Linked DNA regions of Diceros bicornis minor. The protein of the gene in region 1 interacts with the protein of each later gene in a pairwise test. Links are inferred from orthologs where the notes say so. Each region holds a gene or a part of one and is shown in the gene's direction. Other genes may lie near its edges. The genes, in order: MID1, UBTD1 and EHHADH.

Region 1 (3,748 bases):
TCAAAGGCCCAAATGGCACGCTGCCGAACAGAGACACAAGCACAACAGCGTCTCCTTAGAAATAATGACTCCAAGGCAAACAGCCCTCATTGCAAATTGTAGAACTGTGCCATCTGCTTGTCTCCTCTTTGATTTATTCGGTTCAGGGTTTTAAATGACGTAATAGAAAGGTAAGTCTTCTTTTTAAAAACTTGAGGGGAAAGGGAGGAATTCCAGATTGATTATAGCATATCTGAAATATATATTAAAATATTTGCCTTAAGTTAGAAGGGGATTTGGATTTATAAGGTGTGAATATTGTTGTGAAATGCAAGGGTAAACCCTGTCCTGGGAAGATAAGGTAAACTTTAGATCTTAAAAAAGGTCATGCCTTACAACTTAGCAATTTACTTTTATTTAATATTTTAAAAATACAAATTTTTGTAAAAACAGTAATTTTCAGGATCTTTGATAGAGCATGTAGATCCACGTTTTCGTATTTGATATTCTGCCTTTTCTTGGTGTTTTAAGTTTGTTTTCAGTTTATTTTCAGTTTGGGGATAAATTAAAAACAAACAGTTGCTATAAATTGTCAGGGCTTTTAAAGTGCTAGGTAAATTTGGGCAGCTTCTAGCTGATGTCTACATAACTTGTTTGAAATCATTCTGTTCTGGAAGGGAGTATAAAGGGGTGTAGAACTCAGATGAAGTTTTAGGCTGAGCCCCCTCTCCCATCCCCGAGAGATACTGCCAGGCGTTTGGAGGGTGTAGAAAGAGCAAACGCCCATCTCCATGCCTTACCAGGGACCTGTCCTATTCCCCGCCTTGGTACTTCGTGTCCTGTCGCTGAGGGGTGCAGAGGGCTGAGTTCGATGCCTCTGTGAGGATTCGCCTTGCAGGAATTAATGCCAGCAAACACCTCCCTTCCCCGCCTCCCCTCCCGCTCCCCAGGAGAGGCGCTTCTGCAGAAGTCATTTGGTGTGTGTGCCGGTTTTCCTTGTGAGGGGATTAGAGAATAGGAGAGTGCTTTGTGAGAAAAATCCTGGGAGAGGTTGCTGGGGAAAAACCAAACAGAGGGAAGGAAGACTTCAGCTTTCTTGGTCCCCTCAGTGAAGTGACTCTAAGAAACCCAGTTGCCTGGCCTAGAGCAGCTGTGGGGTTGTTTTCTTTCGTCTACCGTAGGAGAAACTGGTAAGGCTCATTTTTTTCTACTGCTCTGGGATGCTACTATAATTGCTTTATTAAAGTGCTGGTGTTGGAAGGAAGGGAAATTGGTTAGTGATTCTGGGGACATCCTGCATTGTCTCTGCCTGATGTATGAGAGAGGTACTGTTTCCTGCACAAAGAGCCGGTAGCCATAGCATAATTTTACTTTTCCCAAACTTGATTAGCATCACTTTTGAGCAACTGACTTAAACAAAACATATGCACACACAGAAACTATACTCCATATAGGAATGCACCTATTTATAGGATAATCATATTTTTAAAGCATTTATATCTAAATTTGATTAGTTTGGGGGTACAACTGCATGGGGAGTAGGAGAAAATCAAGCCTTTCTGGAAAATTCCAAATTGTCTGTTTCCTGTGAGAATGTACATTTCCCCTGTTTTGTAACTAGGGCTGTGGGGACCAAAACCACTGCTGATAAACCAAGTAGTCCCAAGAGTAAGTTCCAGACAGGGTGAAATAAGGGGAGAGTGGTCCCACTAAAGTGAGGAAAACAGAGTTTTGAGTTAGTCATGAAGAACTTTATATTCTCTATTTGTTACTCAGCCAGCGTTCTAATCAGAAAGAAGAAATAAGGAAGCTGCCCCAGAATCAGAAAGAATAGGTACCACGTCTCCTTTAGCGTTTTCAAGGAATCGGCTCGCTCAGACAGCCTTATTCGGCAAACGGTACTTCTTACTCCCTAATTCCATTCTGTTATTTTTAGAATTGATGTTTATATTTGTGTGGAGATATACATAATTTATATGGCTACATATACACACACATATATATATATATCCTTTTATTATATCCTGGGAAATTTGACCCTGAATAGTTTAGAAATATATTAATTCAGTTTGAGGCGAATTATCCCTCAAGCAAACTGCTCAAGTCCTTCTGAGTTGGAGTATGTGTGGAGAAGATATAAGTGACAGACAGCTGTTGTTTCGGTGATGGACAAGTCAGAAGCCTGTACTCGGAGCTGAGAACCAAATTCCTGCAAGCCCTGCCCGCCCCGCCCGCCCCGCCCCCACCCCACAGGAGGGGGTGGTAATCTTTGTTGTGGTGATTGTTTTTCCCTGAGAAAGTTTGGATGCTGCCTAACGTAGCTGACTCTACATTTTTTTTCCTCCTCAGTAAAATAAAACGAAAATCTTTATGCAAAGTTCTGATGGTAGATGTTTAGTTTCTAAACTTAACATCAAACAAATAATACACTTATTATTATTCCAGTTGAATCTGTGCCTCATGAAAACAAATGATCAAATAAAATGATCAACACCAACTAATTACCCAGGTCTGCAATTTTAACTTCATTTGAAATTAGGCCCATAGAGTTTTTTCTACTTAATTCTGCTGTCTTAAGATGGCCTGATTATTAGAATATTCAAAAATTGAAAATGTGTGGCATTTATTTCATTAACAACAATCAGTTTTTTAAAGTATATAACTATTTAAATAAACTTTCCTTGCATGCATGTTAATGTGAATGCCTGAAAAAAATATATGCTCTTTCTTTAAAATGAGCTAATTATTTGCCTGCCCTAAAATTCGCAAAAAAATGAAAGCCAATTCCCTGTCAATTTCAGTCTTCATTCTTCTTCAACTGAAAATGCTAATTCAACCAAACAGTTCTATCTTTGCCTTTAGGAATTGTCTATGGAATGCAAGCAGTTAATTTGAGGGTCCTGAATGTGAGATAACAGTTAATCAATTTATCTGTGATCTCTGAGGACGCCTGGGAGGTTTTCAAATTGTGATCAATGTTATTTACTATTCTCTACTGCATGCTCGATCCAGTTTCAAAGACTATTTACCTTCATAATATTTGAGCCCGAGAGCATCGAGTTTATTAGAATTGATTTTCTTTCCAGGTTGATCTTTTAAAATACTTTTGCTGGTCATTTTTCTCTACCACCTCATGAGATTTTCATTCATCTGGCATATATTTATTGAGTGTCATTAGTGTGGCCCATGTTTGCTGTTAGAGATGAAAACTATATTTTGATGGGTCTTCCTGCAGAGGTGGCCAAGGCTAGAAGGGAAAAGACCAACTTTTTCTGTTCTAACAATTCTGTGCATGTTCACGTTGTTCAATTGCAAATGTGGTTTCAGCAACAACAGAAAATGCTCGTTCTTCTGAATTATTGATACATTAAAATATGCTACTGGCTACTTAGAACCTGGGAGTTGAGTTAATCAATAATCCTCTCACATTGCACAAGACCTGCTGTATGTTATTCTCATCCCTGGGCATTTAAATAATTAAAAAGTAAGATTTCTCATGAATTAATCTGGCCATTGCTCAAGTTGGGAAAAGATGGACCAAAATGTTTTAGCAAGCTTAATCTTTATAACTTATAAATTACTGTTCCTTCTCATTTTTTGCCTTGATATATTAGGGTTTTTTTTTTTTGTTAGATGGTTTTTGTTAAATATTTTTGTTTTGTTAAATGGCATACCACAATAATGTACATAATTAATAATATCAATAGGAACAGGGCATCATGGGAAAGAAATGAGCGTTTCTTGAATCCACAATGAATCAGCCACTGCC
Region 2 (3,748 bases), on another chromosome or scaffold:
AATTCCAAAAATAAAGCCAAAACTCATCTGTACTCAAGAGATTATTTTATATTCTATTACTTAAACACGAGGTCTGAAGCCCTCCTAACATTCAATAACTTTTTAGGTTTTTTCCTAAAAGAGTAAGGTCTCAGAACTCCAAGGAAATCTGTAATTTGCTTTATTCAAATCTAGATAAGCTGTCAGAACTAAGAGATTCCTGAACTGGTCAAAAGCAGGAAACTATAAAGATCTGGGGAAAAAATAAAAACAAATACCACACAAAAATGTCATGAAAAAATTAATCAAGAACTTTACCAAGAAATGTAGGGAAAGGCTTAGGGAGGATGCGCAGAACATCTCAAACTCTCCCCAGACTGGCATCTCTCCTCCTCTCTCCAATTAGAGCCAGTCAGACGCCCGGCCGCCCGGCCACTCCCAACATGCCACGTGACTCGAGCTGATGCCGCTGTAGATGCATCTTCTCACGTCAACCTCCCAGAAACAAGAGCTCTGGCGGTGTGAGCACCTGATTCTGAACTGAAGAACCTGGGTCCGAGTCCCAGCTCCCCCACTTGCCTGATCTGCGAGTCTCTTGCACTCGCTGGGCCTCAGTTTCCTCAAGTGAAATGGTAATTACTTTCCTAACCCGGCCAGCGCAAAGGGTGGCTATGCACGGAGACGAGGGTCGTAAAGGCGCTTTAGGGAAGATGCAAGCGACTCTCAGTTTGTTATGGCTTTTAAGCACGCGCTGCTCACAACCAGCCCCAGACCAATCTCTCAAAGTCACCACTGTCCCTCACTCCCTTCCCGCTCAGGGTCTGTGCTGAGGCCGCTCCCTCCTGCCGGCCCCCACGCGGAAGCCGCGCGGCGCCGTCTGCCGTACCTGCAGCCACTTGGTCAGCGGGGCCCTCCTGCTGACCCATGACGAAGTCGTGTACGAGGCCCCACAGGTTGCCTGTAGGCGCCACCGCCTCCAGAGCGGCGGCGGCGGCCATGATGCGAACCGCGGGAGGGAGAAGTGGGCGGTGGTACGGGACAGGCCTCTCGGCGCACGCGCCTCCCGAGCCAATGGGCTGGCGGAGGCTGAGGGGGCGGGGCGCTCCCTGGATCACGTGCCTGCAGGCTCCCGGCCAGGCAATTCCAGAGAGGCGTGGGACGGTCCCTCCCCGAGGGGCGGGGCCTAGAGTCGGGGCGGAGGCGCGGGGAGGGAAGGCGGCTGCTGGGCACGCAACCGGGGGCCGTTGAGGGCGAATAATTCCGGGCCCGGCTCCCCGGGAGACGGGCGGCGGGGCGGACACCTGGCTGGGTGGGGCCTAGGGGCGGTACGCACCCTAGGGAAGCCAATGAGAAAATCAGGCCCGGCCCGAGGGGGCGGTGCCGTCGGTCACATGCGCACCTGGGGCGGGCGGCGGCGGCGGCGCTGGCACTGCGAGCCAGGGGCAGGGAGCGGGGCCGGGCTGGGGCGGGGTTAGGCAGGTGAGTGACAGGCTCCAGGGGGCCGGCCCCAGCTGGGAGCCCCGAGCGAGCCGGGAGTAGCTGCGGCGGTGCCCGCCCCCTCTCTCCGCCCCTCCGGCGGAGCTGGTCTCCGGCCGGGCACCGTCGCGGGCCCCCCTGGCCCGGCCACCTGGGACTGTGCTGCGGAGTCGGCCACCTCCCTCTCTCCCCTCGCCCGCAAAGTTTGTGGCGAAGCCGGCGCTTGGGCAGAGCGCGACCCCGGGGGGAGATTGGGGAGCGCCTGATGCCCGGCGGCAGGAGCCGTTGACCCGGGACGCCGCCGTCCGGGCCAGGGGTGCGGAGCAGCCGGCCCGCCCGCCGCCTCCGGTGCATGGGGCCCGGCTGAGGAGGCAGCATGGGCAACTGCGTGGGGAGACAGCGCCGGGAGAGGCCGGACGCCCCGGGACACCCCCGCAAGCGAGCAGGTAACGACCGGGAAGGGAGCAGGGCAACGGGCGCCCCGCCAGTTGTCCCCCTCCTTGCCCGAGCCCTGGGCTCCCGGAGTGACCTCCCAAAGCTCCTGGAGCCTGGGTTTCCCCGATGGGTGCTCCTGAGCGAGACTGGGGCCCCCTCCCCAGCCCTGGTAACCGGGGGAGCCGAGTTGGGGCAACTGCGAGCGCTGACCCGCCTGTGAGCCCAACTTGCTCCAACTGGGAAGCTCCGGGTGGGGGTGGGGGCGGGGGCAGGAAATGTTTGCAGACCGCAGCGGGGCCGATGAAGGGGAGGAGGGCTCCGGGCGGGGGCGCCGCTGACCTGGCAGTAGGGCTGGGGTCGGACGTCCACCCGTCGGGACACGGTGCGGGCGGCTAGGCGTCCCCAGAACTCTGAGCGAGCGAGGCGAGAACAGTCGCTCCTTCCAAAGACTGTGTCATTATCCGGCTGCAGATCGTGTCTGCCGGAATCCGACTTGCAAAAGCAGCGCAGGACTCTGGGAAAGAAATCTTTATTTTTCCCGCAGGCTTTTTAGAGCCTCCTGGCCGTCTGGGAGCCTGGGAAAGGTGGGGTGCGGGGTGGGAATCGCCCTCGGGTTCGTTGGGATACTTCCCAGCCTTGGGAATGGGATCTACTCTCTGCTGATCTGCGAGGGCCGAGCAGCGCCTTCTCACTTTCTTGGTACACTCCTATCCTGGCGTTTTGCCCCGGGAAGAGGTCTGGCGGCCGCTTCCCCGTGTCTTGTACTCACTTCCTTCTCTGAGGATGTTGCAAGGACCTTCTGAGAATGATAAAATCGTAGACTTTAGAGCTGTAAGGGACCTTTGAAGCTTGTCTAGAGTCCAGATAGACGTACCTCCTCCTGTCTATGTACAAAGCCCAAATCCAGAGAGGTTGATCAACTTGCCCAAAGCCACACAGCTAGTTGGTAGTACAGCTAGAGGTAGAACGCAGTCTCCTCTTCCACCCAATTGCCACATATCCCTTTGTGTCAGAAGAGCTACAGGCAGGATTGTTAATGAAGTGGAAATTCTAGTTGGAGTTTCCTGTCTCGTTTGACACTGAAGGTGTGTTGCTTGGGTTGTGGAAACCGGGAAGTAGGATGAGGGGAAACGGGGGAAGCAGGGAAGGATGTCTGTGTGGTGGACAGGATGACTTGTGGAAGAGACATGTTTTTATAGGGGGGACAGGGTAAAATTTAACATTGAAACCCTCTTGTCTGAAGGCAACCCTGACCTTTCTTCTGACTGAGGAAAGTTAATTCTCAAACCCAAGGGCTTTCTTCCTTTCATTCATTCATTTATTCAACAAGTATTTATTATTTATGTGCTCAGTCCACATAATTGACTTAGTAGCATTTTTCACTAACAACCCACTCCTACTTGAAATAATCCCTCCTTCCCTTCTTGTCATTAGACTATCTTGGTTTTTTTCTCTGATCACTCCTGCCCACCATCACCTCCTGGGTGTGGGCACACCCGTGATTCAATATGACATTCCATTTTTTTCTCTCATTATACTCCCTCCCAGGGAAATCTTATTCAGTCCCACAACTCTGTCTGTTGGGAAGACCTCTAATCTGTATCTTCAACTATTGCCTCTTGAACCCCACACTCATATCTCTAACTGCCCACTGGATGCCCTAATGTAGATATCCTTAGATTCAGCACTTCTAAAACCAGCTCTGCATCTCTCCCCCTCAACCAGCTTCCCTCTTCTCTTCCATTCTTGCAGCTGCCTAGCTTTGTACTTTGAAGAACTCTCTCTGCTGACTTTCTCTGCCTCCATGTCCTCTGCCTCCCAGCCAGTCAGTCACTGGAACCTGCTGGATCCTCCTTCA
Region 3 (3,748 bases), on another chromosome or scaffold:
CAGAGGGAGATTCTCCCTCTCTCCCGACAGTTTCGAGAGGTAAAAGAATATCTATGAAAATAGCCTTTAATCACTGCTAAAATTTGTGAAACATCAGTGAACAAAATCACTCCATTGTTTTTTTTCTCTGAAACTTCCAAACTGCCTTCTGGCCACTTGATGGCTGTGGAGACCACTAGGGGCCAATTACATCTAGAAAAACCTTGTCCCAGCCTGAACTTTTGGAGTGAAGGGGCTAGGCCTTATTTATCTTTAGTCTCTTGCCTACCTTAGCACATAATAGGTACTCAATTCATGAATGAAATGTTAGGATTCACAATCCTTAGGAATGGCAGAAGAAGAAAAAAATAGGATTAGGCAGACAAGAAACTCACAGGTTTCATTAGGTTACTGTAGGACTGTTCTGTAAAAATTTGGTTGATGTCAGTACCATACCTATTTAGGTGAAATGCATGATGTGTGTATTTTATGTGTTCCAGGTGTGTGTCATATCACATAATTGTCAGGACCCCAGATATCTGACCCTGTTAAGAAGGATCATGAGGATGAAATCTGTGATGAGGACAGCTCCACCAACTTAGTGAACCTAGAACTCGTTCAGAGAAGCCAGCCCCCTGGGCCAGGGGGTTGCAAACCTCAACTTCCTGGCAATTCCACCCGTTTTCCATCGTCTTCCCTGATCTACTTTGTAACGGGAGCAGGATGGGAGCCAAGAAAGAGAAACGGAAGACAAGGGTTTGCAGAGCGCGGGGCTGGGGTCCGGAAAAGGGGGAGGGCTGGGTCGGAGGATGGGCGTCGGTGCCCGGGAGCGGCGGGGCGGCGGGAGGTGGCGCCGGGCTCGCATTGGCCCAGCGGGCGCCCCTCCTCGCGGGGCCGGCCCGGCGCGCCGAGAAAAGGAGCATTGCCCTGGGGCGGGAGGCGGAGGCGACCTCGGCGACAGAGGAGACATGGCTGAGTATACGCGGCTGCAGAACTGCCTGGCGCTGATCCGCCTCCGAAACCCGCCGGTCAACGCGATCAGGTAACGGGCTCGGTGGCCTCCAGCCCCGGGACAGCAGGGCCTTAGCCGTCTGCCCGCTGTGGTGGCTTTGACTCTCCTCTGCTGGTTTAAACGGAGAGAGGCACTAACACAGGTTGAACAACGGCATATGCCTTTTACGTAGGTTAGCTTGGTTCATGTTCGCAGAGAACTCGCATCCCGGTTTCACTGGTAAGAAACCGAGGCTGAGAGGTGGACAGAGGGCCACAAAGTTGGGGAGCTGGCCTTGAACCGGGTCTGTCCATGCCTTGCAACTTTGACTTCTCACCCGTACTTTCTATTCCAAAGGTCTAAGCGCAGTGCTGGCTAGACCTTGATCTCTCCCTTGCCAACTTGGAGTCCAGGCCACCCTTACAATGTGTAACTAAAAGCTCTAGGAATCCAACAATAAAGTGACTTCACATTCTTAAAAATAAATTAAGGTCTCCATTAATGCCAACTCAGTGAAGTAAAGGAGAATTGTGTCCTGGCCCAGAAAAGCACAGTTCTATCTCTTGATCTGTCTAAACCTCGGGGCCTTAGTGCTTCAGTGCTTGGAAGATCCAAGTCAGAGTAAGCCTATTAAATAACATTTTCTGAAAAACTGCTGTGCGGTTTATCTTCTTTTATTTTATCGTGGAGCACCTTCCTTGTTAAACTCTCTAACCCAGATTTGTGCAGTGCACTTAAGCAGTACTTTTAAAAGGGAGATTAATGCTGCTTTTTTGAAAATTAGCATAGGTTTGGTTCTTTCATATCTCTGAAAAAAGTATAGTGATACATCAGCCTAGTAGAGAGCCACCCCATCCCTAGGGAGTAGGATTAGCAGAATTTATGAAGAATATATAAAGTATGGAGAGAAAGACCTTTGCTCAAAATTCTTATTGCCTGCTGCTGGAGCAAAAAGGGACTGAACGAGGAGACCTGCTCATTTTAACTGAATTTTTTTCCTACTGTCATCAGATTTGATTATATCATTAGTATTAATATTATAATTCTTATCTTTGACATGAATTATTACATTTAATAATACAAAAAATATGCAAGAGTAAAATCACACAACGATGATATGTCTGCCTACTTGCCATTCTCAGAAAAAGGCAAAATAGCCATTATTTTGGTTTTGACCAAAAAAACCCATAAGCAATATGATTACATATCAATTTTAGACTTGTCTGTATTCTAATTAGAATGACTAGATACTAGGACTGTCTGCCTCAGCCTCTGCTCACAATGGGAAACCATGCCCATCAAGAATTTGGGGGAAAAATGTTCCACAGTGTAATACCTGTAACAAGGAATATTTTCTCATAGCTATTTTAAATATTTCAAGTATTTAACCTGCCCGCTTGCCCCCTGGAGAAATGTTAGTATGTACCTGATAAAGTTGTTGTGAGGTTTAAATGTGTTGGAGGAGGATGGGCGAAATGGCTGAAGGGGGTCAACTGTATGGTGATGGATGGTGACTGGACTTGCGGTGGTGATCACTTTGTAGTGTATGCAGATGTTGAATTATGAAGCTGTACAACTGCAACTTATACAATAAAAATACATAAATAAATGTGTTGGAGATTATAAACAGGCATTTAACAGATGTTAGCTATCATGATTTTTATTAGTCAGAGGCCTGTTATAAGCCCCTACCAACAGGCCCTGCTGCCCAGGATTCGTTTCAGCTTCATCAAGATTTTCTCCACTTGGGCATAAATACTTTTCTGCCCTTTCTCATCTATCTTCTTTTGAACTTATATTTTAGGTAGAGCTGTACATCCCAGCATGTTTATCAAGTTTAACAGGTTCCCTTTTTTTTGTGCTTTATATTTTTCTTTACTTCTTCTCTTTCTTTTCCCCTTCCTATTTCTAATTTTCTGTGGGAAATTATCTCTTCTTAGCTCACTGAGACATTCTTTTTTGAATACTTTTTGGCCCAAATAGTTTAAATCCTTCTCTGCTAGTTTAGCCAGCCATGTTTCCTTCCATTCAGATGAATGCCAACCCTCTTTACAAGTATAGGGCATGCCTGATTCCTAGGCCTGTCTCTCAGAACAATGGCTCTCCCACTTTTTTTTAACTGTAATCCACACAGTCAAAAACCCTGTTTTGTGTAGCAACCTAAGACACACAGACAAATACACAACTGAAAACAGTTTTGTGAGACAAAACTTGTCCTTATATGTTATATAATTTGATATATTCTATTTTCTCTTTTTCTGTATTTCTTGGTTTAAAAAAATGGTGGTCATAGCCATAAAGTTGATTTGACGACCTTTGGTTTAAAAAAAAAACCTAAAAAAAAAAGACCTCCTACAGTCACAGAAGCTAAAGAGTTTTGGTCAGCACTCATGAAATGTTATCTATTCCAGACTCCCCTTCTCCATACCTGACAATATTAAGGGGAGAAAATAATTTCTTGACCCCTGTGACCTTGACACTGCTCCTAGGCTGTGGTCTCTTTCAGGAGGCTTGAATCTAGTAAAGCTGTGTCTGTTACAGCCATCTTCATTTTTCTTTATTTCTTGTGTTTGATTTTTGCAAAATTGAAAGAACATAAGAAATAAAAGAGTAGGGGTTGGTTGAAATGGGAAAAGCCAAGCTCTTCTCCTCAGTGGCACTGTTTGAGCTCATTTTGGCTAATTTTGCAGCCATCATTTACCCAGAAGGAAATATGTGCCTTTTGTTGCTTTTGTTTTGTTTTCTTCTTCTTTTGTTTTTGTTTTCTTCTTCTTTTTT

Evidence for each region.
Region 2: the proteins of MID1 (region 1) and UBTD1 interact in binary tests that used the Homo sapiens proteins (3 or more experiments, as listed by UniProt). The two-hybrid records come from large-scale screens. The link is inferred for Diceros bicornis minor from reciprocal best matches to the Homo sapiens genes MID1 and UBTD1.
Region 3: the proteins of MID1 (region 1) and EHHADH interact in binary tests that used the Homo sapiens proteins (3 or more experiments, as listed by UniProt). The two-hybrid records come from large-scale screens. The link is inferred for Diceros bicornis minor from reciprocal best matches to the Homo sapiens genes MID1 and EHHADH.

What each region holds. Positions count from the first base shown.
Region 1 is NC_080781.1:8,312,892-8,316,639, reverse strand, and holds the start of MID1 (E3 ubiquitin-protein ligase Midline-1), read left to right. Parts: upstream 1-921; 5' UTR 922-1,169; intron 1,170-3,748. UniProt on the Homo sapiens protein: Has E3 ubiquitin ligase activity towards IGBP1, promoting its monoubiquitination, which results in deprotection of the catalytic subunit of protein phosphatase PP2A, and its subsequent degradation by polyubiquitination.
Region 2 is NC_080745.1:63,274,610-63,278,357, forward strand, and holds the start of UBTD1 (ubiquitin domain-containing protein 1), read left to right. Parts: upstream 1-1,570; 5' UTR 1,571-1,831; coding exon 1,832-1,901; intron 1,902-3,748. Other genes in the region: MMS19 nucleotide excision repair protein homolog, read right to left, coding at 866-977. UniProt on the Homo sapiens protein: May be involved in the regulation of cellular senescence through a positive feedback loop with TP53. Is a TP53 downstream target gene that increases the stability of TP53 protein by promoting the ubiquitination and degradation of MDM2.
Region 3 is NC_080754.1:38,518,492-38,522,239, forward strand, and holds the start of EHHADH (peroxisomal bifunctional enzyme), read left to right. Parts: upstream 1-931; 5' UTR 932-947; coding exon 948-1,021; intron 1,022-3,748. UniProt on the Homo sapiens protein: Peroxisomal trifunctional enzyme possessing 2-enoyl-CoA hydratase, 3-hydroxyacyl-CoA dehydrogenase, and delta 3, delta 2-enoyl-CoA isomerase activities. Catalyzes two of the four reactions of the long chain fatty acids peroxisomal beta-oxidation pathway.